7 linked regions of the Tribolium castaneum genome follow. The protein of the gene in region 6 purifies or fractionates together with the protein of the main gene of each other region. This does not show direct contact. Links are inferred from orthologs where the notes say so. Each region holds a gene or a part of one and is shown on either strand. Other genes may lie near its edges.

Region 1 (4,153 bases), about 28 Mb from region 6:
GTTACAAAGTGTTTATGAAGACTAGCATCAATCGACATAAAAATATTAATTTAACGAAGCATAATATCCTAAAGTATTAAATATATTCTTTTAATTTTCATAACAAGCAGCTAAATCTAAAATACATATGCGGCTGTACAGAACGAAAAAAAGAAATGTGTCATAGTTGCAAAAACAACGTAACGTTAACACAAAATATTTTTCATATTTCTGAGGTAATATTAAGCATGTAATCAAATCGTTCGTGTTCTGTACAGCTTAACGTGTGAATCTCGTACACTGTATACATCAATAGTGAAAAGACAATGGCAGTAAACCTCCTTATTGGCACGCGCTACAAAAATTAACAGTAAATCAATAAATCGCGCTTAAATAATCATCTCAATCATCGTTATTACTGACATCCAAGTGCACCCCCATCGGCCCTAACATATTACTCGACGGTCCCGCCTCCCCCAACTGCGACTTATAACTCTCCAGAATATTCTTCAACGCATTCACGTCAATATCAACAGGTTTAAAACTCTCAATATCCTCAAACCCGTCCCCGTTCTTCTTCTCGAAACTTTCCCCGATTGTGGTCGCCGCCAGTTCCTTATCCATCTGTTCCATATACTCCTGCATTTTATTTTTAACCCCTTCGTACATCTCCTCATTCCCGGCAACATCGTCGGCGTAATCGCTCATATCAGACCCAGAATCCAAATCCCAACTGTCATCTTCCGGAATGACAAAATTCAGGATGTTCTGAACGGCGCAAGAAAACGCATTCGGATCAAAACTAACTCTATTATTAGCTGTTGTCTCGGTTTTTGTGCCACTTGCGAACGAAACTTTGGTGCGTTTTTTCACGCCTCTAGGGGGCCGAGTTGGGGAATTGTCCAGGTCTGGGTGCTCAACTCCGTCAATATCTGACACGTGGTTTAAGAACGAGGAGATTTTTTCAGTGAAAGAGGCGGCGTCTGAGTTGTTGTTCACTGTAACGAATTTCTTTTGCCCGTATTTTTCTTCTAACATTTTATCCAACTCTTCCGGGCTGACGTTAAGCCACGAATCGTCATCGTCAGGCAAATTACTTTCCTCCTTCAATTCATCGATCTTAAAATCCAAATTTTTGATCAACTGGACAATTTCTTGCCCAATGGCTGGAGAATAGTGCATAGAGTCTCGGTGATTGATGTAGTACTCTTTCGCTTTGTTTAATAAATCGTTGTATTCTCTTGAATGCTCCAACAACCCCCGAAAATAATTTTTCTCTTTCAGTTTCTCAAAATAATTAACCCACCCTTTATCCTGTTCAATGTCCTGGCTTGGTTTGGCTTGCGCGGCTAAAATCTCAAACCCACAGGCGATTTTAACGCCTAAATTCTGCGCTTTAAACTGTGGGCTGTCGCTTTTAGGCAAGTTCCAGCCGGTTCTGCGATCCGGAACGTATTTACTGTGAGTTAGCATTGCGTATAAACATTTAGTAAATGTCACTCTGGCATTTACGCGGTTTTCGGGCGGAAAATATTTCATGGCTTTGCAGGTTTTGGCGTCAACTGGGTCTCGATTACAAAAGACTTGGACGGCGGGGGCTATAAGCCCGGGTTTGTGGCGCAAAATTGCAGCGACACCTACTGGTAGGTAGGCAGTGGCATGGTGAAGACTGGACTGGATTTTGTCAGGGTAGTCTTTTAATTTGTTGATTATACAGTTTTGGATGTCTGATGAGGCTAAAGTGTCGATCGGATTGTTTTGGATTGTTGAGACGGCCTCATTGACCGCCATTTGGGCCATTTCTGGGAGGTGATCCGAGGTGTCTAGAGGGATGATATGAATGTTGCCTTGGTAAATGTATACCTGGAGAAAAACCAGATCCAAGTCAGTTTTGCTTCAGTTATTACAGAAATGTATAAATAATTATAAATGCTTAACTAATAAATTATTACTTAAGTGAATTTTAATGTAGAAGTACTATCTTATAGAGCTGCAATTTTGTTGCAATTTTTTCACATGTTGGTACAGCTTCGTTCATTGACTTGTGTTGCATTCGTTAAATTATTTTTTTGATGGTAACATTTTAAGCCTTCTTTTTCACATCTGAATGCTAGATTATAAACACTATTTTAAAACACTCTTACCATAGCAACGTTTTTTAATTAAAATTTCCAACAAAAAAATCAATTATCACTTTATTCTAATTTGAATTAGAAAAAAGACAAGCACAGATAATGAGAAACCTTACCCTATTTTCGCAGTTGTTAGGGTCTGCCCATAAAGGTAAGTAATCAGCTGCTTCAATTAAAATAAATTCGCCATCAGCGTCGTGCACACGAGCTATTAAACCATCAATTTCCTTAGTTAGGAGACGTAAAAGGAACACAATAAACCACTCGTCCTCTATATTGTCTCCAAAATGAGTTACGCCATATAAATGTGGTGGTAAATACTCTGCAAAACAATTGATCTCGAATTAGGTGATTCAAAAAATTGTTACATTGTGATTTATACAGATTTACTTTAAACAAAGCATTTGCTGGTTTATAACCTCAAAAAATGTAAAAGCACTTTTTTAATGTGAAGTCATAAAATACGACCATTACCTGTTTTTTCACTATCATGAATCAGTGAATTACTAATCCACGTTCTCACAGTTAATTTAAATTCGTCTTTATGCCATAAATACTCATCGGTGTACCTTTTTACGATTTTTTCACACTGATTTAAAACTCTGGTTAACGCAAGTTCTTGTTCTTTGTCGTCCTGGGAATCAATAGGTGGAAAAAGATGATATTCAACAAAATCATCTTCACGAACGGACTCAAGAACGTTAACTTTACTTGCCATTGTTGTTTTAAAAGTAATCAATTAAAAAATTTGAATGACATTTGACACACCATTGGTGCCAATAAAACAAAACTCCCCAAACTATTCAAAAACACCCGCTCCTCTCACCAAAATAAAACAAAATTAGATGCTGAAGTGCTTTTATTTAATATAAGTACCAACTCATATAAACTTAACACTAATAAATCACTTTGATGGTCTAAACCACTTAGGGACTTTTTCCGTTGATTTTATTACTTTCCTCTCGTAACTGGTTGGTTGTGTACTTGGCCCAGCAGCATTTGCTTCAGTCAGTGTATCCATAGACTCATCCTGGCCCATTTCTTCACTCGGAGATTCGGGTCTTGTTCCCTTTTGCCGCAACTGTGACGCCGCTAAACTTGCTTTTGAGTTTGTTGTAAATTTATCCCTCAATTCCGCCTTCAAGCACACAGAACTCCCATCACCATTTGCTCCTAAATGCAACAAAGCCCCCGGCACGCAACCAATTTCCACTAGTTTTGATTCGTCCGAGAGAACATTTTTAGGCGGCGTTGTATCTGTAACAATATTTAAACATGTGATCAAAGTAGTTTCTGACTAGAGTCAAAGGTCACTTGACTGAAGTAGAACAATACTTACAAAGATGAAAATCACTGTTTGGATCTTCTAGGAAAGAAGTGACGAAATCTTTAATATCTTTAACAGTTTCGCTGGGCTTGAAGCTCCCTTGAAGGATGGACCTGTCTGGGAACTGGACGCGTATTACTGACTGTTTATATTTACGCAGTTGGCGTAATTGCTTCTTTGATTCTTCTAAATTGCGCATTGCAGAGGTCATGAGATTAGCGTTGTCCATTTCGTTTCGCTTTCTTCTAATATCGCCCAGAATTTTCTTAGCATCATCAATTGTGAGCTCAAAAAAATCGTCTGGTAGGTCTTCAGCTGGTAAAGAACGCGCCGATTCGAGAGAAAATAACATTGCCTTGCGCTCGCCCAACTGAAAATTTCAAATACAAAATAAAATAATAAAAATAAAATGCTACATACAAAAACAAAATCGTCCTCAAGCTGACTAGATGATGGGTTGGTAACTGGCTCTTTTGGGTAATTTGCGATGTTTTCTGGCAAATCAACATCCATTTTTTCGTCGTCAGACTCAACTTTGGGTTTAGTTTTAGGCGAATGCGTTTCCGTTTCCGGAGTTTTGGAAGGGCTGCTCAATTTTCGTTTTTCCCGTGCTAGTTTCAATAAATCAACCTCAGTTTTCTTTTGTAAAGGCTTCACATCGGTAGTTTTAGAATATTCAGCTTCAGTCTTTAAAGTGCGATGAAAGGGCTTCTCC
Region 2 (4,384 bases), about 2.8 Mb from region 6:
TGCAAGAAGATTTCAACTGCCTAGATACAGCGTGTCTAAAATAATTATTCGCTACAACGAAAGAGGACATTTAAACAATAATCCAAAATCGGGACGACCACGAAAAACCACTATAAACATGGACAGACGCATTAAAAGAATTTCGGAAAACGATCCATGGAAATCTGCATCTAAAATTATAGCGGAAATACCGGAAGTAGGAGTTAGTACACGAACAATTCAAAGAAGACTGGTTGCAGCAAAGCTTTTTAGTAGACGTCCTGCTAAAAAACCTTTGATTTCCGAAAGAAATAGACGCGCCAGACTTCAATTTGCAAGAGAACATTTGAATTGGACAAAGCAAGATTGGAGGAAAGTTCTGTTTAGTGACGAAACTCGATACAAATTATTTAATTCGGATGGAATGAAACGTGTGAGACGGCCAATCAATACACGATTCAACCCCAAGTATGTTACACCCACTGTTAAACATGGTCATGGTAGCGTTTTTCTGTGGGGGTGTTTTTCGTGGAATTGTGTGGGTCCGTTGAGCTTTATTGGGGGTAATATGGATCGGTTCATCCATAAGGACATACTCCAAGATGTAATGCTGCCGTATGCAGAATGGGAAATGCCTCTTCGTTTTATCTTTCAGCAAGATAACGACCCCAAACACACTTCTGCATTGGTCAGTGAGTGGTTCCAAAATAATAATATTCATGTTTTGCAATGGCCTGCCCAATCACCAAACCTCAACCCAATTGAGAACTTATGGGAAGAGGTAGAGCGACGAATCCGGATACAAAAATTTCCCAACAAGCAATCTTTGATAGATAAAATCAAAGAAGTGTGGTCAAATCTGGATGAAAATGTTATTCAAAAATTAATTTCTTCAATGCCCAGACGGTGCCAAAAAATTATACTTAATAACGGCTATGTCATAAATTATTGAATTTTTCGTTCTATTTATTTAAACTTTAGTGTTGGGTAGTGTTATGTAAATGTTGAATCAAATAAAATTTGAGTTGAAAATATTTTCTGACAATGTTGCCTTACTTTTGTCGCATTAATATCGGGCTTTTTTATATTTCAAGCTAGTAGCATGTCATAATAATTACCCATTGGCTATCCATGTTCAACACGAATAAGAATATCTTTAAACGTTTATTATAAAATTAAATTGAAGGTAAATACCAACTCTTAAAATTTAAAATACCAATATTTGTATATTTTTCAACATGTTGCCTTACTTTTGTCCGATAGTGTATTTTAAACAAATACTTTTTTCGACAAAATAATTAAAAGTCAAAATAAATGAATGGTAATTCGGATTATGTATACTATTTTACTTAATTTGGGAGTTCGGTTAATAGAATCGTACGGATTATCCGAGCCGTCTAAATGCAGAACTGATTGCCAAAAATTTTAAAAATAGCTTTCCCGCACTGTCACATTTAAAATTTAAACAGCAATTTCTATTTGTTTTTACAAAATTCATTCTTTAATACAGTAAAACTATACAAAAGTTTCGAATTTGACACAAAACTCACTGGGGCTTGATAATGTATTCTTTAATTGTGGTAATCTATTTCGTTTTGTTTTTAATTAAGTAGGTATATCCCATTTCAGGTCGTAGAATTTTGCAAAAACGTATTTGCATTTTTTGGAGTAAAATGTAACGCAAATTGAGTTTCTGGTGGGTTTTCTTAGCACAAACTTTTTTTCTTTTACAGAAACTTACAATTTTGCACAAATCGCACTCCAAAAATGTCACTCAGATGCAGATGTAATTATAACTTTCTAAAATAGTTTTCCGCAAAACTAACTAATAAAGACCGCACGTTTTTTGTGCATTCATTAATTTTTACAGAACAAAAATACTTTAATAAAAAATTTGTACCTATTCAAAATGTAAGCGAGTTTTTGTTTCTCGACGGCGCCTATCATTACAGCACGTCCTCGAGGGTCAGTGGCTAGGTACTGGCCTGGAACAATACGTCTGACCCCCGATTTGCCGAACGTCTCCTGGTGGACCTTCTCGAAGTTGTTTTTAGACGGGATATACTCAAGAATAACGATTCTGCCGGAGTCGGAGCCCACGATGACGAAGTCTTTGGTGCCTCCGGTGAGTCGAAACGACATCAACGAGCGGACGACTCCGAATATTTCGACGGTTAGAAGCGTGTGGACTTTACCGGTGTTGGGGTCAGGCCGTAGCACTTCCAAGCTTTTGCCACGTGAAATGACAATTTCTTGCATTTTGGTGCCGGAAAAATTGCCATGGATGGCGTGGGTGATGGCTGTGGCCCTTTGTAAGGTCAGGTTGTAGAGATACATTTTGGGGGCTTATCTAGGAAGAAAAGTGAGGTTAGAACGTATCATTTTTTAGTTGAAAATGTGGGGCACTAAAACCAGGCTTTAGCTTGGTAATTCGCTTGAGCCAACGATGCGATGTGCCCCATAATATAGCACCCTTTACGACCTGTACGTATACAATACATAGGTACAGGAGATACCAAGTGCATCCGATTACAAATTTTTAAAGCAACTCGTTAATTTGGGCAAAAATACGTACTTGTGATTAATTATAAAACAAAATCAAAGCTAAATTTTGTTACCTTGAACGTGGATGAGCTTCGTTTCGTTCAATATTTCAAAGTTTTTCAACCATTTATTTTCGATTTTCGCATGGTTCACATTGTTGTGACGTGGTGACTTGGTTATTTATTTGAGCGTTTTTGTCGATGGTTAAGTTAATTAAAAAACAATAATAAAGCACCTTTTGCAATGTTTTGATACATTATTTAGCAAAAAAGTACAAAAACTAACTGCAAATGGCGACAGACCGGCAAAATAACGCACAAACACCGGTGAAGTGAGAAAGGAAACGGAAAGAAGAAATGTAGTGCTACTGCGCGTGCGTGTTGGCTATATTTTTTACTACGCAAGCGCAAAATTTCTAAACCAATCAGAAAATTGAGAGGAAATTTCAATTTAAATAAATTTTTCAGAAAATTATCTTTGGCCAAAATTATACTTTAACAATTTATGCGTTTGATATTGCCAGTATGTATCTTTTGTTTTTACCGTACTGTAGGTACTGTATTTAGAACTTGATTGTGTTTATCTCAATTTGAGGCAAATAAGAATCCAAATTCTAGTAAAAAGCTTATTGTTTTGTACCATATTTTCCGGACAATTTTCAGAGTTTTAGTTCAATGCAATTTACAGTAATAGTCTTATGCGTTTGTTTGATGAAATTTTAAGTTATTGTAAAGATATCATATCTTCCTTATTATAAAAGATACATATTTAAAACAAAAACATTATACAGGCACTTTTTTACAGAGAATTTAATAATGTTAGCAGCGATTTTTTTTACTCATTCGCTTAGCTGTAATGACATAAAGTTTTATTTTTTTAAATGAGAATTATAGTTGGCTATGACATTTTCGAAAAGCTTTTTTTTTCTGAACTCAAAACAATATAAATATAGTTTGATGTTTTTATACAGGGTGCTCAAAAACTGGCGCACCAACTCAGTGGTACGTTATTGAGAAGCAAGTGCAGATTACGGGAAAAATGTTGAAAAAATTCCTAAAGTTATATTTTAAAAAATCTGGAGCTACAAACTTATTGTGTTAATTTCTTTAGTTTTTATTATTTTTTTATATTTTTATTTTTCATACCAGGTAATCGTTCCGTAACAAAACGATTAACAATTATTTTAAAATTTACTATCAAATTTTAGCAGTTTTTTTAATATAAAAAAATTAAAATTTATCCAAAAAAATCACAATGTGTAGATGTGCCAACACTGGGAATTATTTCCTAGGAAACCGTTTCAAATATAATTTATTTTTATTGTTGCTCAAATTCTATTGCGATCATGACTATTAGACAACGTTGCCACATATCAATTACTTAAAATTAGTTATTTATCAATAATTTTAATACAAAGAATTTTTTTACTATTTTTACCATTATATGTAACCACTTCTCTATCACACACCATTGAGTTGGTGCGCCAGTTTTTGAGCACGCTGTATATTTATGATAAAAATATATTAAAACATTTGAAAGTAGTTGGCTATGAAAAAATTATTTCACATAAAAGGTGTGAATAATCTAGAAATTTTGTGAACGGTTATTAAAGTAAAAAATGTGAAATTATAAAAATAAGCTGTGTTGAAGTTATTTTGAATTGAACAAATATACGATGATCGCAGATTTTAATTACATAAAAAATGTGTAGGTGACGTTGATAATGTTGTATATTTTTTTACCGCAGATAAAATTTGATTTGGTGTTTGGATTGACATTTTTTTTGTAAAATAAAATTTTATTGATACGCAATCATACAATTATTTTTTTCTTTTTCCGACATTTCATGTTTAAAATTGTA
Region 3 (2,612 bases), on a different chromosome or scaffold from region 6:
TCAGTATTTAATTAATTTTTGCACAGTAGAAATAATAAATGATCAGTATTTAATCCATTTTTACTCAGTAAAAAATTTAAATGACAAAACCACGCACAGTATTTTATTAAAATTTACCCAGTAAAAAAATCGTATATGCACAGTATCTAGTTTCAGTTTACACGGTTTAAATAATAAACGCTCAATAGATAGCCTGCAGGCTGGGGCTTCGCCCCATCGAACTAAAACGAAACATATCCCGCGAACGATTTTTGAGATGCTATTATCTACTGTGCATTTATTATTTTTACTGAGCATTTACTATTTTTACTGAGCATTTACTATTATTACTGTGCATTTATTATTTTAACTGTGCGTTTATTATTTTTACTGTGCGTTTATTATTTTTACTGATCAAAAATACTTGTCGTTTAAATAAAATACTGTGCATTTAATTTGTACCCATAAAAAAAAACTCTTAGCAGACTCACCCTGAATTGAAAGGGAATTTAAAGGGAGATTTAATTGCGTTAGATATAAAAATCATTCTCATTGTAATTATTTATTTAAAAAGCTTAAAATTATGTACAATACAATATGTTTACGTATTAATTCCGTATTTTGATTTCATCTTATCAATCTCTTCCTGTTTCTTCTCAATATCGGTCTTCTTGAACGCTTTACTCGCCTGATAATACAAAACCACTAAATACCGATTACAAACATTAAAGCCGGACAAATGGTCACAAGCGTTTTTTGCGTCAAAAATGTCCTCATAAACCACAAAAGCTGTGCCTCTAGTTTCCGGGGTATTACCGACGCGGATTTGCCTGATAGCCCCATATTTACCGAAAATATCGTACATTTCTTCGGCTGTTATTTTATAGGGGAGATTGCGGATGTAGAGAATTCGGTTGATTTCTGGGGGCAACCTAACCTATAAAAAAAAACATTTTTTGGGTCAAATTTTTGGTATTTAACGACTTACGTTTGCCTTTCTTTGCATAGCCAAAGCCATTGTGGCGTTTTTTTAATTTGCTTCAATGAATTAAATACAAAAACAAACTCACACAAACGTTTTTATTGACTGAACAACACGATCGCCAACGTAACACGTACCAACCCAACAATTAACAAAACTAAAGCGGGATATTCAAACACAATTATGCCTCATCTGGTTCCGGAATATTAACATCTTTTAAAAACGCAATCAACGCACTATCATTAACGGAAGCCGGATAACTCTCACAACGGACTAATGGCGTGACTGTTTTCTTTTTTTCAAACAATTCGTTTGCCCGTTTGATAATACTCGCATCCACGCCAACTTCGGCCGCAATTTTTATCGCAAAACTCCTCGAAACACCTTTCGCCACTTTATAAAGGAACAAAAGTGTCCCATTTTCCTCCGAATGTGCCATTTTCAAATATTCAACAACACCATCTTCCGGTAAAAAATCAGAAATGCTTTGGTGGTGCGTCGAGACAAGTATGTGAGGGCAGTTATTGCCTTGTTTGTGAAAGTCGGCCAGAAAGCCGACCAGTAAAGCAAGTCCATCCTCCACGGTGGTTCCCCGGCCAAACTCGTCCAATAAGATCAGAGAGTTGTGGCGCGCGTTATGAATCGCTTGCGTGGCCTAATTTACGATTAATTTTTTCGCAAAATTTTATACAGACCTGGATTGCGTCAATCATAAATGCAGATAGGCGCACGGCTGCCGATTCCGTCGCTTGCATTCTGGAATGTATGCAATGCAAAATCCCGATGTTGGCGCTCCTGGCAGGCACGTAGGAGCCAATGTGGGCAAAGTAAATAACGAGGGCTACTTCCTTCAAATACACACTTTTGCCACTGCCGTTAGGCCCCGTGATTATTTTAATGTGACTGTGGTGATTCCCCGAGCAAAAGTCATTGGGCTCGAAATTTGAGACCAGCTCGAGGAGAGGGTGACGACACTCGCGGATTTCGTGCATATTTTGGTTGTTTAAAGCAGGTCGGACGTAATTATTTTGTGCCGAGACTTTCGCTATTGCTATCAAACTAAAAATTGTGTATAATTGGGAGAAAAAATCAATAAAATCGTACGCATCAAACAGCGATAAGACTCTAAGAGGCTCTCTAATATCCTTGTTGTATTTGAGAATGAAGGAGGAAAGGCGTTGCAAAATGCGATTTTCGTGGGCGATTATTTCGGCATTAATGTCGCCAAGGTTTTCGTCCAATTCTAAATTAAAATGATAGAAAAACAATAAATTTAAATTTTTTATACCTAAACATAGTGGATTCTTGTAATGGATTGTTCCACGCAACGTGAACTACAAAATACCCAATAAGTGATAAATCGCCTTAGGAATTTTCTTACCATGAATTGAAATCCTAAATCTTTCAATTCCTCGGGATCGCAATTCGGTTTCCATTCGTTTATCGCAACCAAATGTCCCATTTCTGGTAAATACACAATGGAACATTCGTTTAAATAGTCTGGTAATTGCTCTGCTGCCACTCCGGCCGCTGCTCGAACATGTTGGGCAATGTCTTGTCGACGCAATTTTTCTAAATCATTTTTTAATAATTGTAACAAAAGTAAACAAATAATTACTGGCATCTAGACTTTCGTCAAATCCGGTTTTAA
Region 4 (4,346 bases), on a different chromosome or scaffold from region 6:
TATTTTATTTTGTTTTGCAAAATAGATGGTATTGAGTATATCATCACTGTATTAACTTTATAAGAAGCATTAATAAAATGTGCATTAGTATATAGTAGCAGCTTTTATTTTCACCAATTTTTGCACCAACAATCACACACGCTGCCCAAAACACTGAACACAAGCCGAAATGCCTTAGGTAAGTTTTGAATTTTTTATTTTTTACAGTCTAGCCTTCTCAAACGAAATTGAATATTTTATTACTCCTGAAAATGTCACTGCTTTTAAACATAAGCCTGAAGATAAATTCGTATTTTTAGAAAATTGTATCCAAATCAGCTCGTGAGAGATATTTTGATCCAAGTGAAGAAAAAGCAAGAATTTTGGAAACTGTGAAAGAAGAGGTTGCTCGAAAGAATCGTCCTACTTCAGCATTTTGCAGGAGTGGGTCACTGAAAGTTAAGAAAAGTGCAACACCTCGACCACCGTGGAGATTTTAAATCGCTTAACGATTTTTTTTATTTTTTTAAATTTCTTTATTAAATGTGCTGCTTTATTTAATTCAATATCCGATCTAAAAATTCATTAGGCAACGCATTTTTGTACTATAATTGAATTGTATTGTCCAACAATCATGCAGAATTTTACATAATCTAATATTTGTTGTCAGTTTTTAAGTAAATGGTTGTTGGACTATAATATTGTACCAGTATTAGTTGTAGAAAATTATTTAGGAAAATTAGGAAAATTACAAAAATTAGTTCATTAACTGCAGTAGTCAGGAAATATAGTGAGCGGCAAAAGCGGAAAACAGAACGTCAAATAAAAAAAAGACGTTAAAAAAAACTGAATTTTTGAGAATTCTTTTGCTGGTCATAAATCTTGTACTGATCATAGTATCAATATTAAGAAAAAGAAATAACCAAATACTATGTAAAATTATATCATTAGAACAAAATTTTCACTTTTATACAATGATATTATTAATCCACAGTTTTCACAATACCACGTACAAAAAAAAAAAAATAGTTGTGTATATATTAAATACATTTAGATATTCTGTTTAAGCAAGTATGTAATGGTAAAATTATTATTGCTTATGTACTTATATTTTTTAGAAACATATGTGGATTACCATAATTATTTGTTTAGTGATTATTTTTTTAGTTTAATATTTCAACTAATATTAAAAAGTTGATTGTCCCATATTGTTTATGGAAATAGAATTGTCTTAGTTAACGTTAAATAAAAATTATCTTGCACATATTTTCTCTGATACTGACCAAACTCCCACCAAAAACAACCCCTATTTGTGGGAATTGGGATTAGAAAAAACAAAAGTTGGTCTGCAGTAAATAATTTTCGAGAAAAACTCGTTTAAATAAACCGTTAAATAAGTAGGGCTAGTGGTGAGGTGACCGCCCTAACAATATATTAGGCAAAAATAAAAAATAAAACTGAAGTTGTTTCAAAAAATTTTTGATTTGGCGACATCTAGCGATTTTGTGTTGTAGTGGAGACATTAATGTCAAAAACGTAAGTTGGAGTTGTCAAAAAAATAGGATCATTTTATTTGCAATTTAGCACTTTTTTGTCATTTGAAACGTGATTATTAGCACAAGAATAATAACGTAAAGCCTCTGAAGCCACAACTCCTAAAATATGTCTATAGAAATCGAATCTGCGGAGTAAGTACGACATAACCAAACAAACAGTGTTATGTTTTTATTTACTTGCAGCGTAATCCGCCTAATTCAGCAATATTTAAAAGAATCTAACTTATTAAGAACTCTTCACACACTACAGGAGGAAACTGGTGTAACATTAAACACTGTAGATAGTGTTGATGGGTTTTGTGCCGACATAAACAACGGGCATTGGGACACTGTTTTGAAAGCGATACAGTCCCTTAAACTCCCTGATAAAAAATTAATCGACTTGTACGAACAGGTAGACGCCAAATTATTCAACTAGTTCGCGAAACTACAAATTTCTTAGATTGTTTTAGAATTAATTGAACTCAGAGAGTTAGGAGCAGCCAGATCCCTACTCAGACAAACAGACCCCATGATAATGATGAAGCAAAACGAGCCCGAGCGTTACATTCACCTAGGTACTCAACAAAAGTAAACACTTCAAAAATAACTTTTTTTACAGAAAATTTACTCGCTCGTTCATACTTTGACCCCCGTGAAGCTTATCCAGACGGAGGCAGCAAAGAAAAACGCCGTGCTGCTATTGCTCACGCCCTTTCAGGGGAAGTATCAGTTGTACCATCGTCACGTCTTTTGGCCTTACTTGGCCAGGCGCTAAAATGGCAACAGCACCAAGGCTTGTTGCCTCCTGGTACCACAATTGACTTGTTTAGGGGCAAAGCTGCCATCAGAGACCAGGAAGACGAACAATTCCCAACTCAAATGGCCAAACAAATCAAGTTTGGGCAAAAGTCGCACGTGGAGTGCGCTCGCTTTTCACCAGATGGACAATATCTGGTCACAGGGAGCATTGATGGGATTATTGAGGTGTGGAATTTCACCACCGGGAAAATTCGCAAGGACTTGAAATATCAAGCCCAGGTAACAGTTAATTCTAATCTTTAAAAACTATTTTCAAAATTCTTTTATAATTTTGTTTATATTTTTTGTAGATTATTCTTAAATATTGTTTCTATATACTTCTGTACATTTTTTTAAGATTTTCGTGATTCTTTCCTAAGCCATAAAGACTGAAATCTAACTTTATAAATTCTTCTTTAGATAAAAATATTCTTCTCAAATAGAAAAAATTAATTAACATCAAAATATAATTTTTTTTTCGATTACATTTCGTTTAGGAGAGCTTTATGATGATGGAACATGCAGTATTATGTATGGCGTTTTCGCGAGACAGCGAAATGTTGGTAACTGGGTCACAGACCGGAAGAATCAAAGTTTGGAGGATTAGCACGGGCCAGTGTTTGCGAAAAATCGAAAAAGCTCACTCGAAAGGTATCACCTGTTTACAGTTTTCTAGAGACAACAGTCAGGTTCTAAGCGCTTCGTTTGATCACACTATTAGGTAATAATTTAAAATCTAGTGGCGCCAATTTTACGGTAATTATAGATTACATGGCCTAAAATCTGGGAAAATATTGAAGGAGTTTCGTGGGCACACTTCGTTCGTAAATGAAGTTATTTTCACTCAGGATGGTCATAACGTTTTGAGGTATTTTTTAAACTTGTGTCTTCTTTTAAAACATTTTTATTTAGTGCTTCTTCTGACGGAACCGTTAAAGTGTGGAGCATCCGAGCTGCGGAATGCATCAATACTTTCAAATCTTTAGGCGCGGGCGATATCACGGTGAATAATATTCACAACTTTGCAAAAAATCCCGAACATTTTGTTGTCTGTAATCGCACGAATACTGTAGTTATTATGAATCTTCAAGGACAGGTAAATTGTGATGTTACCAAAAACATAAAAAATTCATTTATTGATAGATTGTGAGGTCATTCGCAAGTGGTAAACGTGAAGGTGGTGATTTTGTATGTTCAACAGTGTCACCAAGAGGTGACTGGATTTATTGCGTCGGGGAAGATCTAGTCTTGTATTGCTTTTCCACAAATTCTGGTAAACTCGAGAGAACTTTAAATGTAGGTTTTTCACCAATGGTTTAATACAATTGTGGTTTACTAATTTTTGTTCCAGATTCATGAAAAAGACGTTATTGGTATAGCACACCATCCACATCAGAATTTACTCTGTACATATAGCGAGGACGGACTCGTGCGTTTGTGGAAACCGTAATTATTGTAATTTTGTAACGTTTGTAATCCTAAGAAATAAAGCGTAAATTCAATTCAGTTTTTTATTTTCACACCCAACTGAAGTCACCACATGTGACGCCACCTCACGGCGTCTCTGTAAAAAAGTAAAACTTCTAAAAAAATCGATAAAATATAACAAAGCAATAAATTATTATTTAAAGGACAAAGAAATTTCGAAATCTGGGATAAACTTAAATAAAATCACTACAAAATATAAAATAAAAAGAAAAATACCGATCTGTCAGTGTCACTGTCACTTAATATAACCTCAGTTTTCAAGGGAACACATTTTTTCAAATATTTTAAAAATGAAATTGGATAAAATTTGTCGCACGTGTTTGCTCGAAAAGGCCAGTCTGAAGCCGTTATTCGGAGCTTGTGTGGCCAATATGTTAATGTCGTGTGCCTCAATTCAGGTATTTCATTCACTTTTTTACTTTATTTAAACATGTGTCCTGAAGGTAATTGAGGGCGACGGTCTCCCCTGCCAAATTTGCACGCAGTGCTTGCAAATGGTAAACAGGGCTTACAGTTTTAAACAGCAATGCGAGAAATCCGACG
Region 5 (4,281 bases), on a different chromosome or scaffold from region 6:
AATTCAGTAACTATTAATAAAATCAAACACTCAAACAATTTATTGCCACGTAATAATTTTGTCTTTAATTTCAATGAATGAAAGTGGCTTGCTCAAAATTTAATGCAAAGAAACATTTTTTTTTTGGTTTCTTTTTTATTATTATTATTTTTTATGCTACAAACGGTAGCCAACGTGGAAGCGAAACACAGGTACGTCCATTTTATTGTTGTGTCGTATTTATTTATTTCACAAACCAATAATTCGTTAAAATTTAATTGCAAATAAAATGTTGTGTACACCGGCTCTAATACGGTGTTGAAAAGTCATAGTTTGAGTTTTAAATTCAGTAACTAAAAAGAAAACACTCAAACAATTTATCGTCGCGTTTTGATTTTGTCTTTAATTTCAATCGATGAAAGTCACTTGCTCTAAATTTAATGCAAACATTTTTTTTTGGTTTCATTTTTATTATTATTATTTTTTTAATGCTACAAACGGTAGCCAACGTGGAAGCGATATGAAGGTAGGTGTATTTATTTACTGAAGTTTTAAATTTAAATTGCCACATATTAAAACGTATTGTGTATTTTTTATTTTGTTTAATATTGACAAATGTTGCTTGTTGTAACTTTCATGCAAATAAAGATTTTTTATTGGTGTTGTTTTTATTTTTTAATGTCTTGCTACAAACAGTAGCCAACGCAGAAGCCATATGAAGGTAGGTGCATTTTTTTGCGTTTTATCTTGTGATGTGTTGAATTTAATAGCTTGTGTGCCATATATTATACCGTATTGTGCATCCTTTATTCTGTATAATATTTATTAGTGTCGCTTTTTGTAACTTTCCTACAAATTATTTTTTTTTGTTGGTTGTGTTTTTAATTTATTTTTTAGGTTTTGCTACAAATGGTAGCAGATGCAGTATAAAGGTAAGAACATTTATTTAACGCCAAGTGAAAAACTTTGATTTTTGTGTACTTTTTTTTTATTACACAAACCAGTAATGTCTTTATTCCCTTTTATTTTCCAATAATCATTGTTTACCTCATCCTTATTTCCTTTTTTCCTGGCAAGAATGCTCTAAACCTCCACGTGGTTCTTGCTGGACAAATTAGTTATTAATTTGACTGATTAGAGCAATCTTTAAATACGAATTTTTTTAACGCAGTTTGCAAAATTGAGACATTTTTTTACAGCCGAAGGCCCTATCGAAGGGCTTATTCCCCTACAAAAATAATGAACATTGCACGGTAAAAAGGGGGTGAAAAAAAACAATTTGCATTGCTTGAATATAAGAATAAAAATGTAGTCAAGTTTTAATTTGTAATAGAAACACATTAGAATGATCAGGGTATGTTTTTCTAATGATTTACGATTATTTTGATAATTTTCCTGGTGTGAACTTGGCTGTAGAAACGAGAATGTTGCTAGCTCCAGGCGCGCAACGATTGTCTGGTCGACTGTAATGTTCATGGTGCCATCATCATTTTTAGTGCATCTGCACAGATATCTCGGCCACAGTGTTTTTCACTTTGTGCGGTTGGCGACACATCAAGCTAAGTTAGCAAAAATGGCGTTGTTTTGTGCCCGTAAGTATGAATTTTTGTTGCGATTTTGAATAAAGTACGCTTTTTTAACGAATCAAAACTTAATTCGAGTGTCAGTAATGAGCTTCTGGCGCAGTTTGGGTAACGATTTGGCCCGGTTTCAGTTTCAAACGAGGTGCCGGAACACCCAGTCGTGTCCCCAACGTCGGGTGCGATTTTCGAAAAACGCATCATCGAAAAGTACATCCAGGAGCACGGCAAGGACCCCATCAGCGGTGACGAGCTCACCGTGGACAAGCTCATTGAAATTAAGAGTGAGTAGCCTAACCCAACTTGTTCGGTTCTAACCGCCACACAGCCCCGCCGATAGTCAAGCCGAAGCCGCCGAGCGCCACCAGCATCCCGGCCACGCTGAAGCTGCTGCAGGACGAGTGGGACGCCGTGATGCTGTACAGCTTCACGCAGAGGCAGCAGCTGCAGACGGCGCGCCAGGAGCTGAGCCACGCGCTCTACCAGCACGACGCCGCGTGTCGCGTGATCGCGCGCCTCAACAAGGAGGTGACCGCCGCCAGGGAGGCGCTGGCCACGCTGAAGCCCCAAGCGGGCATCATCACGGTGCCGCAGCCCGCGGTGGCGGCCGAGGCCGGCGGCATCGCCAACCAGCCGACAGAGCAATGCGGCCTGACTGATGAAGTGATTGAGAAGCTGCAGGACAAGGCCACGGTGTTGACGCAGGAGAGGAAGAAGAGGAGCAAGACGGTGCCTGAAGAGGTGTCCACGCCGGAGCAGTTGAGGGGATTCAAGACTTTGGCCTCACATCCGGTATATTTTCAATGTTTTTATTTATACCATCCAGTATTTCCCCGAACATCTCTTGCATTTTGCACAATTGTCGTTTTAAAAATTTCACTTGACAAATGCAAAGATTACTAAATGTGGTAGAAAATGACTTAGTTTTCTCTCTTACGAGTGTTTTAGCACATTTACCAATTGGAAAAACGTGTAAAGGTTGGTGTTATTTTGCTGGATTTACTCGATTTAGCTTGTTATTGGGCGAAATTTCATCAAAAATAAGCCAAAAGTCACAGGATGTGTTCAAAACACTGATATTTTTTAACTAAATGTTCGTTCAAATAAAAGAATTTCTTTCTAACCTAATTCTAATTGAATTGAGCCAAAAATGCGTTGTTTTTTTTAAGTAAATATCTAAATATTTCAATAAAGTGATCGAAAATGATGTCATTTCAGGTTGTTTATCTCGAACTTATTCTGAGAAATCAGGAAATTAATTTGGGAAATCTTCTATTTTCGTAATACATTTTGCAGTCAAAAAGCAAAATTTCGTTGAAATCTTGTTATTTTTGCCATTTTCCGGCAATTTAATTCGTATAACATTCGACAATGTAGTTATTTCGAATTTTTTTTTTAAGATAAGAGCGAAAATGTTACATTTTTTTGTTGTTTTCAAGTGTTTTAAATTTTTTTTGAAAACAATTTAAGCTTTTTTCTATAAACATTACAAAAACTTAATAAAAAAGCACTATTTTTACATCAAGATGGTTGTTATTTTAGACCATTCCCTTCGATTTTGTTTGTTTTTGAGCCAGGAATTTATTTATTTCCCAACAATAAAAATATAAACTTATTATTTTGTTTTTATTAACTTTGATTAACTTTCGCGAAATTCCCTTTAAAAAAAAACGCAAGAAACCACAAAATTTGATCAAAATTTTTACGTTTTTTAAGCTTTAGAGCACGTTTTTGAATTTAATTTTCAGCTTTTTTGGCGAAATTTTGCAAAACCAACTGAGAAAAACATGCAGAAATAATTTTTCTGTTTTTTGAGGCTTTTCTAAAAAGGTAGATGAAAAAAACACCAAATTAATTCTAAGATTTTATTATTTTTCGAGTTCACGAGCATTTTAGTACGCTTTTAAGACAGAACTGTTTTCCAAATTTCGTAAAAAAAATAAAAAGCCGACTCTTTTATTTTACGAGATCTTGACAAAACACCTAAAAATCAAAAACTTATTATCAGCTTATTTTTGAATGAAATGTTCCCAAAAACAAGACAAGAAACCAATGAAATTGTTAAAATTCTTATTTTTTCTTTATTCATGCTTTCAAGCACATTTGAATTTTTGTTTTAATCGCCAAATTAAATATAGAAAACTACATTAATTTTTCATTTGCGATCATTTTAATACGTTTTACACTTAAAACCACAAATATTCCGCAAAATTTCGTTCAAAACCATTCGGAAACTAATTTATTTTGTAATATCTTGTCACATAAGTGAATCGACATTAATTATTATTTAATTATTTAGTATATTTGAGTTTGAGTGAAATTCGTCAAAACTCATTATAAATAAGTCGAAAATTGTGTTAGTTTTACTTTTTTCCGGGCTGTAAGCACAAACTTTTGCTAGAATTGGCTAAAATCATCAAATTAATTAACACAATAACAAGTGTTCATTTAAAAAAAACTCTAGAGTGCTTTGAAAATAAAAAAATAATTGTTTACTATGTCTGTGATTAATCCGTTCTTTCATAACCTTACTTTTTGACAACTAAAAGAAAACAGATTTTCATCATAAAATTTATTTATTATTTATAAAAACTGTTGGAAATGTCTTCCTTGTTGTTCAACACACATAACACATCGCCTTTGAACACTATTTAACAATCTTTGGCTATGAATTGTGATGACCTGGTTGATAGGCAACCAACAATACAATGATAAAAATTGA
Region 6 (3,587 bases):
AAAAACTGAATTATGTCCCGTCCGTAATCATGGAATGGCTTATAAATAAATTAAATAGATAATTTTTCAAACCTGACATCATTTCTTTGTTAGTTTTTATTAAACTCTTCTTTTTTAAACGAACGTCTTACTAAACTATTGATTTTTTTTATTTAAGCTGAGGATAGTCTGTTTTCTTATTTTTCCAGGAGTTGTAGCTTAAATAGAAATGATTATCTGTGTCATTATCATTTTTGGCAATAATTTAAAGCCAATCTCTTCAGTCAATTGGGCAGTAATTTCTCGTAAAGTATTTACTCGATTTAAAATTAAAATAATGACAATAATTCAAGTTTTTTGAACAATTATTCCGACCTTTTTGGATTTTTTTTTCTCATTCAGTATTGGAATATATTGCTGTAGACGTGAACTTGTTCAAATCATTCTCAGTATTCTGAACAGTTTTTTCTTGGCAGAATTATTGTTTTATGACAGTTTTATGTGTTTACGCTTTGCTGCAGATCCACGACTTCGTTTTGTCGAAAACTCAATTATTTTTCTCAAATAAAAAATATTTTTTTTAATTTGAGATGTGTACATTTTACATAAGCAAGCAAAATTGTCTTTTTTTAGTCTTGGTAATTGCTTTATCCATTTTCAAATTGCATCAGTGGTTTTCCAATGTTATTAGTTGTAGTTGTTTTTGTTGTAAGAGTGATGAGACGCGCAGGGGTCCTGAAGTTGACCAAAATGTAGATCAACAACTGGTGCTTACATTGACGTAGGTCGATACAGCATTGGTTGGAAAATGCGCCTCTGACTATTTTTAATTATTTTATTACATTAGTTTCTCTGTTAGTTTTGCTAAGTCGCTGTATAGGTCAATGTTAATTACAGGTTCCTGGTTTACCAATCCCCATCGAAAACATGATCCTACGATATGTGAAAATGAAAGCCGATTGGTGGACAAACACAGCTCATTACAACAGAGAACGAATTCGCAGAGGCGCAACTGTTGATAAAACAGTGTGCAAAAAGAATTTGGGAAGACTGACACGGTTGTATTTGAAAGCAGAACAAGAGCGACAACACAATTACTTGAAGGATGGTCCTTACATCAGTCCTGAAGAAGCAGTAGCTATCTACACTACAACAGTGCATTGGCTTGAGTCACGAAGATTTGCTCCAATTCCTTTCCCACCTTTGTCTTACAAACACGATACTAAACTTCTGATCTTGGCTTTGGAACGTCTCAAAGAAGCATACAGTGTTAAATCGCGACTCAATCAAAGTCAACGAGAAGAATTGGGTTTGATTGAACAAGCTTATGATAATCCACACGAAGCTCTTTCGAGAATTAAGCGACATTTATTGACACAGCGAGCTTTTAAAGAAGTAGGGATCGAGTTTATGGACTTGTACAGTCATTTGATTCCGGTGTATGACGTTGAACCACTTGAGAAAATCACCGATGCGTATTTAGACCAATATTTGTGGTACGAAGCTGATAAAAGGAGATTGTTTCCACCGTGGATCAAACCTGCCGATACTGAACCTCCTCCTTTACTTGTCTACAAGTGGTGTCAAGGAATCAATAATCTACAAGACGTTTGGGACGTTTCGGAGGGCGAATGTAACGTTCTCCTAGAATCAAAGTTTGAGAAACTCTACGAAAAAATTGACTTGACTCTGTTGAATCGATTGTTACGTTTGATTGTCGACCATAATATTGCTGATTACATGACGGCTAAAAACAACGTTGTGATTAATTACAAAGACATGAATCATACGAACAGTTACGGGATAATTAGGGGTCTACAGTTTGCTTCGTTTATAACACAGTATTATGGTTTGGTTTTGGATTTGTTGGTGCTTGGGTTGCAGAGGGCTAGCGAAATGGCAGGGCCACCACAGATGCCGAATGATTTTCTCACATTCCAAGATGTTTCAACGGAAACTTGCCATCCGATAAGGCTCTATTGTCGATACGTTGACAAGATTCACATGTTCTTCAGGTAAAATTCATTGTTATTTATTTTGTTTTTGGGCAGTTTCATATGTTCTTTAGGAAGAATTAATAATTACACTAGTTTACAACGTTTTTTACCAATAGATGAAATCAATGTGTATCGGTAGAATAATTAATAATAATAATAATAATAATAAAAGCCTTTTTTAAAGAAAAAATGTGAGGAGGCGAGATCTAACTGATGCTATTCTACTTAAAACAAAACATAAATTTTTAAATATAAACCAAAAATAACCAAAATGCATAATATAATATTAATATAAAAAATAATATACAATTTTTAAGTAATACTAAAAAAAAGGAGATATGTGTCTCGGAATACTGTTGAATAAATGTAAAAGATAATAATAATAAAAATAATAATTCGAAATGAAAACAAATACAGCAAAAGAATAATTACTGAAATAATAAAAAATCTAACTTTGTTTGTTTCTTAAATAAGTTTACTGGCTTTGACTTTAAATGGTTTTGGAGATATTATTATAAATGATGACAGCGTTATAGCTGAAAGATCTAAGAAATGGTGCTTTTTCTTTTTTAATTTCAGATACACAAAAGTTACGATAATTAACCCTAACTTTGATACAGAAGTCGAAAAAAAATTAGGACAAGTTTTTTAAATATTCATTATAAAGTATAAGTATTTCAGACAATTTTTGCAACATTAAAAATGTTACAGACTGTTTTTTCTTTTGTATTATCAGGGTCAGTTTATCTCAATGCAGACTAGTAGTAAACGAATAACGTATTTTTATCTCAAAAACCTTAATACCTCTCTTCATAAGACTTTAAAAATTTGATAGAAATATTCATCTTGTTTATCCCATAGGTTTTTAATTTTTTTAGGATAATTTTACCACAAGAAAAAAAATTTCTACTTTAGTTTCACAATATGTTTTTCACAAAAAGAGGAAATAGTTTGAACAGGTTTTGATAAGTTAAACTAAACACAAACAACAAAAATAGAAAGTCGAAAAAATAGTATATTATAATACTATTGCATATTATTGTGGCACTCATTCTGTTGGAGCACTCCTTCGTCGTGCTCCCAAACCATTTATGCCAGTATAGAAAAATTTTTGTTTTTGGCTTTTATGATGAAACGCGCAGGGGTCCTGAAGCTGGTCAAGCTGTAGGCCAGCAACCAGTGCATACACTAACGTAGGTTAGTTGTGTATTGGTTGGAGATATGCGCTTCTGAACAGTTTTTTTGCTTATTTAACGAAACACAAGTAACTTTATTTTAGTAATGGAATATTTTTTTATTACAGATTTACAGCTGAGGAAGCTCGCGAATTGATTCAAAGATACTTGACTGAACATCCTGATCCAAATAATGAAAATATTGTTGGTTACAATAACAAGAAATGTTGGCCCAGGGATGCCAGAATGAGATTGATGAAACATGACGTTAACCTGTAAGTTAATAATGTTTCTTTTTTTTCGATTTTTAATTGGTTTGGTCGTTTGTGTCAGGGGTCGAGCTGTATTTTGGGACATCAAAAATCGTCTGCCCCGGTCTGTGACAACTATACAATGGGAGAACAGTTTTGTGAGCGTCTATTCGAAAGATAATCCA
Region 7 (4,261 bases), on a different chromosome or scaffold from region 6:
CATTCGTAAATTTCAGTGTTGCCACCCATTTTTTCAGACACGAGCACTTGATTGGCCAGGAAGGCGTGTACGCCTCCATGTGGAAGCAACAATTGGAGAGTAAAGAAAATTCAGCCGAGACTAGCCTTGAGAGGAGTTAATCCCCACCCCACCCCCCACTATTTACAATTAGTTGCCGAGGTTTGGGGCTTATTAAGTGAAAAAAAACGCTTCGTAATTATTGATTTGTATTGAACAAAAAATAAGTTGACTGTCATATCACTAGTTTAAATAAAATATTTCTATTGACTATGGTAAAAATAATTCTTCTTCGGGAACCCTCGCAAACACTTCGTTAATATTCTGCGACCACACTGTTGCCATCACTTGCTCAATGGCGGCGCCAAAGTCGGCATAAACAGTTAGGGAATTTTCGTTGATTGTTTTCATGATTTGTTGGCTCAGCTGTTCGTTACCGTTGATTATGTTATCATAGGAAAAAATCACTTTTTTCGGGTTGAATTTAAACACGTGCTCGGTCATTCTCAAGTGAGTCTTGCCTTTTTTGGTGTACCTTTCACATTTGAAGTGATTGGCGCCTTCAACATCCCCTAAAAAAAGAATTAGGCACGAGGCGAAGCCGAGTGCTTCACTCACAGAACGTGTTATTACACTTCCCTTCACCGTTTAGTGTGAAAATGAGCAACTTTCCGTTGATTTTGTAATCGGCTTCCATACGCACGACGGGAGTCAAGCTATCGTAGCTCCAATAACAACTCCCTTGCGTAAAATTAACCCTAAAATTTTTTTTCAATTTTTTTTTTTTTTTTGTTAATTTTATTGTTACTTCGAATTTTTGATCGTAGCCGAGGTGATGCCGTGAATTTTCACATTTTTGTAAACTTGCTGGAGCGTGTCCTTGGACGCTTGGCCCAAGGTCACCTCCGGTATAAGCAGTGGCTCCAACTGACTAATCCCCAAATCCCTGTTCCCCATGGCCAACTTACGCACATCTTCCATAACATATTTATCCAAACACTGGTTTAAATTAGGATCCGATTTGCGACATTTGATAATTTCGGGCGCTTAATTAATTAATTAATTAATTAAAATCAATGGTTAATTCAATTAAACGACTTACGCAAAGTTTTGGCAAAAGTTGAGCCAAAAACAAGCACCACAAGTAAAATCGCACTCATTATTCTACGGAATCAAGTCGAAAACTATTATTAAAAATGAGTTAGTGAAAAGTATTTGTAGTGTCGAAAAGTTGAAAACCTTGTAATTCGTACATAATTTTCCTAATTGCAACAATAGGCAATTAGGGAGCGGAAATTTTGTGCTAATGTGGCACAAATGAGGCAAAAACGCCCGTAATTATTGGTTTAACATTGTTTTAAACTGTTTGAATGGAAATTGGCGCCGGTTTTCGGCACGTTGGCAGCACTTTGTTTGAAGGGCCCAGTGTTTGATCAATTATTTCAATTAATTAATTCAAAGTTTGGGTTAATTGTGGCAGTGCTATGGCTGTAAGTATTAACAAAACAATCATTTATTAATGAAAAAAGCCCACAAAAAACAATTTTTAATACAGAAGTTACACAGTTGGTATTACAAAAATTTCAAGTTTGGGACGTTTTTGTCACATAAAACTTTTTTCCCGACGAATTATTTAATTTAATTATGTGTTTCGAGTAAAATTAATATAATAATTATGCTTAATTAATTAAATTACGAAGTGGGTACACTTTTTCTGGTGATTTTCGCAGTTACGTTGGTACCGCGTCCCTCCATTGTTTTTGCATTTCCTTTAAAATTGTGCATAAAAACGCAAAAAAGCCGCAAAAACCACAACCCCAATGGCTGTAAGTACCCCATTCTCCCTTATCTCGTTAAAAACACCCTTTTGCTGATAACATTATCGCATTTGTGTCGTTTTTGCGGCGTTTGCTGACCCTAACCCCACTTTCGCAGAGCGCCGCCGCTGCAAAAATCGCCGAAGTGCGTGAAACCACGCGCGTGGAGCGCATTGGGGCCCACTCCCACATCCGGGGGCTGGGTCTGGATGAGAGTCTCGAGGCCCGGCATGTCTCGCAAGGGATGGTGGGGCAGGTGTCTGCCAGGAGGGCTATCGGGATTGTCTTGAAGATGGTGAGGGAGGGGCGGATTGCTGGTCGGGCCGTGCTTTTGGCGGGGCAACCGGGGACGGGGAAAACGGCCATTGCGACGGCTCTGGCCGCCGCCCTGGGGCAGGACACCCCCTTTACGAGCATGGCAGGCTCGGAGATTTACTCGCTGGAGATGAGCAAGACGGAGGCGCTGACGCAGGCGATTAGGAAGAGTATCGGGGTGCGGATCAAGTAAGTGCTGGAATACCGGGTGACTGTGATGAATTGTATGGGGGAATTATTTGGCAATACTGCGCTTGTTTTATGAATTAAGAGTTCAGATTTATCACAAAACTGACGACAAGATCCGTTTTATTTATTTATTTATTTATTTAACGAAAAATTTTTTTCTACAAAATATATAAATTACAAAACCACAAAAAATAAAATTATTTAACAATAAATGATTAATATCAAGAATCATTTAGCCTTAACAGCGAATGTATAAAGTGCTAATGGCTTTTCAGTAGTCACCCGGTATAAAAATGTCAAAAAAAATTGAAATACTATAGTCGGTGTATTGTTGGTTGCCTATATACTAACTTCTGAAACTTTGAATTTATAGTTTTTATTGATTTAGAAATCTGTTAAAAAATATTTTTTTTTCTAATTTAGTCGTTTGTTAAGCTTAAAAAATTTTTCCCCGTGTTTTTTTTTCGGGAACAAAGATTTACAAGAAAAAAAACAAAACAGTGTGTCTCGGAATTTATTTTGCAAAATTTAGTGATGAATTCTCTAATTTTTCAATATTCAATATTCAATATTGAGGGTTATTTTAATAAAAAAATATTTTCGAAATGGAAAGAATCTACTTTTTCTATTTCGTTGATTTTCTACAACGGATTTTTTTTACTTTTGTGTGCTTCTTATTCTGTTTTTTTTTGCTTTCTTTTCATTTTTTTTGCTTTCTCTTGATTTTTTTTATTTTTTTAATTTGTTACAAGAGGTTTTTTTTCTTTTTTGTGTTATTTCTTTTTTCGTTTATTTTATTATTGATGTTTTTCACTCTCCCGTAATTCTTTGGACTTGAACCATATTTTTTAAGTAATTTTATTTTTTTGGTTTTGCGACGATTTTAATTTTTTGTTATACTAATTTTGTTTTTTTATAATATATGTTGGTAATTTAATTTTATAGTTCATTTTCAAATATAAATATGAAAACGTTTAATAAACTAGCAGGTTTGACAATAAATTACACCCGACAAGATTAGAAAAGATGGTTATTTACTTTGAAAAAAAATATATAAAATTAAAGAAAAAACTAAATTTATTTTTATGTTTAACAGTTTAACTGAAAGTTTTTTATTAGTGGTCCGTCACTTTTGGGATCGCTATATTATGTTTTGTTTTACCAGTTTTTTTTTAATTTTTTAATTTTATTTTGTCTTTTTTAATTTATTCATGGAGAAAAAAAAATTAAAAGCTTGAAAAAAATGGGCATTTGCTTTTTTAACTTATTTTTTTGGTTCACATTTATGTTTTATTTTCCACTTTTATTTAACACATTTTCTCTTTATTTTCTATACATTTTTTTGTTATTTGTTAATTAGGTTTTTGTGTCTACATATTATTTTTTCGTATTTTGGTTTTCGTTATTTCGTATCGATTTATGTATTAAATTCTTGGATTTTTTTATATTTTATTTCTTGTTTCTTGTAGGCGTTTCCTAATTTCACTTATTTTTGATTTATTTTATCAAATTTATTTTCCAAATTATTTTCGTTTTTCAATGTTTATTTTATTTTTTTAGTCTGTCTTTGTTGATTTATTCGTGGAAATTGGGAATAATTAAAAAATCGAAAAAATTACCGTTTATTCATAATGTTAAAGTAACGTTATGAACTTTAAGAGTTAAAGCGACTTCAACTTTATGAATAAACAATAAAAGTGTAAAAAAAATTCAATTTTTCAGTTATTTTCAATCTCCACAAACAGAGGGAATAAGAAAATTTTATAATTTTTTTATTTTGTTCTTTCTTTTGTAATAATTTGACCTCACTTTTGAATTTTGTTAACTTAATTTTTTGGTTCACATTTATCTTTTATTTCGCCTTTTCTCTTTCCTAAGAGTTTGCAACGATTTTTTTTTATTTTCCAATTTTATTAAACATA

Evidence for each region.
Region 1: the proteins of Prp8 (region 6) and ecd purify together in Homo sapiens (affinity purification with mass spectrometry; 7 studies listed by BioGRID and IntAct, counting the BioPlex papers as one, with this or other methods). This does not show direct contact. The link is inferred for Tribolium castaneum from reciprocal best matches to the Homo sapiens genes PRPF8 and ECD.
Region 2: the proteins of Prp8 (region 6) and Sf3b3 fractionate together in Homo sapiens (co-fractionation; 4 studies listed by BioGRID, with this or other methods). This does not show direct contact. The link is inferred for Tribolium castaneum from reciprocal best matches to the Homo sapiens genes PRPF8 and SF3B3.
Region 3: the proteins of Prp8 (region 6) and Sf3b6 fractionate together in Homo sapiens (co-fractionation; 3 studies listed by BioGRID, with this or other methods). This does not show direct contact. The link is inferred for Tribolium castaneum from reciprocal best matches to the Homo sapiens genes PRPF8 and SF3B6.
Region 4: the proteins of Prp8 (region 6) and Smu1 purify together in Homo sapiens (affinity purification with mass spectrometry; 3 studies listed by BioGRID, with this or other methods). This does not show direct contact. The link is inferred for Tribolium castaneum from reciprocal best matches to the Homo sapiens genes PRPF8 and SMU1.
Region 5: the proteins of Prp8 (region 6) and Prp19 purify together in Homo sapiens (affinity purification with mass spectrometry; 5 studies listed by BioGRID and IntAct, with this or other methods). This does not show direct contact. The link is inferred for Tribolium castaneum from reciprocal best matches to the Homo sapiens genes PRPF8 and PRPF19.
Region 7: the proteins of Prp8 (region 6) and rept purify together in Homo sapiens (affinity purification with mass spectrometry; 3 studies listed by BioGRID and IntAct, with this or other methods). This does not show direct contact. The link is inferred for Tribolium castaneum from reciprocal best matches to the Homo sapiens genes PRPF8 and RUVBL2.

Annotation. Positions count from the first base shown.
Region 1 is NC_087394.1:35,465,392-35,469,544, forward strand, and holds the start of ecd (protein ecdysoneless), read right to left. Parts: upstream 2,872-4,153; 5' UTR 2,830-2,871; coding exon 2,586-2,829; intron 2,434-2,585; coding exon 2,228-2,433; intron 1,843-2,227; coding exon 382-1,842; 3' UTR 1-381. Other genes in the region: tether containing UBX domain for GLUT4, read right to left, coding at 3,016-3,368, 3,451-3,808, 3,859-4,153. UniProt on the Homo sapiens protein: Regulator of p53/TP53 stability and function. Inhibits MDM2-mediated degradation of p53/TP53 possibly by cooperating in part with TXNIP. May be involved transcriptional regulation. In vitro has intrinsic transactivation activity enhanced by EP300.
Region 2 is NC_087394.1:10,470,291-10,474,674, forward strand, and holds the start of Sf3b3 (splicing factor 3B subunit 3), read right to left. Parts: upstream 2,882-4,384; 5' UTR 2,598-2,881; intron 2,330-2,597; 5' UTR 2,317-2,329; coding exon 1,880-2,316; intron 1-1,879. UniProt on the Homo sapiens protein: Component of the 17S U2 SnRNP complex of the spliceosome, a large ribonucleoprotein complex that removes introns from transcribed pre-mRNAs.
Region 3 is NC_087395.1:21,527,699-21,530,310, reverse strand, and holds Sf3b6 (splicing factor 3B subunit 6), read right to left. Parts: upstream 1,127-2,612; 5' UTR 998-1,126; coding exon 968-997; intron 917-967; coding exon 581-916; 3' UTR 526-580; downstream 1-525. Other genes in the region: mutS protein homolog 5, read right to left, coding at 1,143-1,616, 1,657-2,204, 2,250-2,295, 2,343-2,533, 2,580-2,612.
Region 4 is NC_087397.1:5,008,314-5,012,659, reverse strand, and holds Smu1 (WD40 repeat-containing protein SMU1), read left to right. Parts: upstream 1-1,488; 5' UTR 1,489-1,641; coding exon 1,642-1,667; intron 1,668-1,718; coding exon 1,719-1,929; intron 1,930-1,977; coding exon 1,978-2,092; intron 2,093-2,136; coding exon 2,137-2,555; intron 2,556-2,812; coding exon 2,813-3,036; intron 3,037-3,081; coding exon 3,082-3,183; intron 3,184-3,227; coding exon 3,228-3,411; intron 3,412-3,458; coding exon 3,459-3,611; intron 3,612-3,666; coding exon 3,667-3,765; 3' UTR 3,766-3,817; downstream 3,818-4,346. Other genes in the region: tau (microtubule-associated protein 2), read left to right, coding at 300-479; zinc finger protein OZF, read left to right, coding at 4,094-4,201, 4,247-4,346. UniProt on the Homo sapiens protein: Involved in pre-mRNA splicing as a component of the spliceosome. Regulates alternative splicing of the HSPG2 pre-mRNA. Required for normal accumulation of IK.
Region 5 is NC_087395.1:23,125,970-23,130,250, forward strand, and holds the start of Prp19 (pre-mRNA-processing factor 19), read left to right. Parts: upstream 1-1,439; 5' UTR 1,440-1,447; coding exon 1,448-1,571; intron 1,572-1,693; coding exon 1,694-1,843; intron 1,844-1,887; coding exon 1,888-2,351; intron 2,352-4,281. UniProt on the Homo sapiens protein: Ubiquitin-protein ligase which is a core component of several complexes mainly involved pre-mRNA splicing and DNA repair. Required for pre-mRNA splicing as component of the spliceosome.
Region 6 is NC_087394.1:7,711,211-7,714,797, reverse strand, and holds part of Prp8 (pre-mRNA-processing-splicing factor 8), read left to right. Parts: intron 1-876; coding exon 877-1,994; intron 1,995-3,279; coding exon 3,280-3,426; intron 3,427-3,484; coding exon 3,485-3,587. UniProt on the Homo sapiens protein: Plays a role in pre-mRNA splicing as core component of precatalytic, catalytic and postcatalytic spliceosomal complexes, both of the predominant U2-type spliceosome and the minor U12-type spliceosome.
Region 7 is NC_087401.1:15,890,138-15,894,398, forward strand, and holds the start of rept (ruvB-like 2), read left to right. Parts: upstream 1-1,430; 5' UTR 1,431-1,502; coding exon 1,503-1,508; intron 1,509-1,685; exon of another isoform or gene 1,686-1,838; coding exon of another isoform or gene 1,839-1,844; intron 1,845-1,953; coding exon 1,954-2,339; intron 2,340-4,261. Other genes in the region: Hmt-1 (ATP-binding cassette sub-family B member 6), read left to right, coding at 38-140; uncharacterized protein LOC663271, read right to left, coding at 289-590, 637-776, 827-1,064, 1,121-1,178. UniProt on the Homo sapiens protein: Possesses single-stranded DNA-stimulated ATPase and ATP-dependent DNA helicase (5' to 3') activity; hexamerization is thought to be critical for ATP hydrolysis and adjacent subunits in the ring-like structure contribute to the ATPase activity.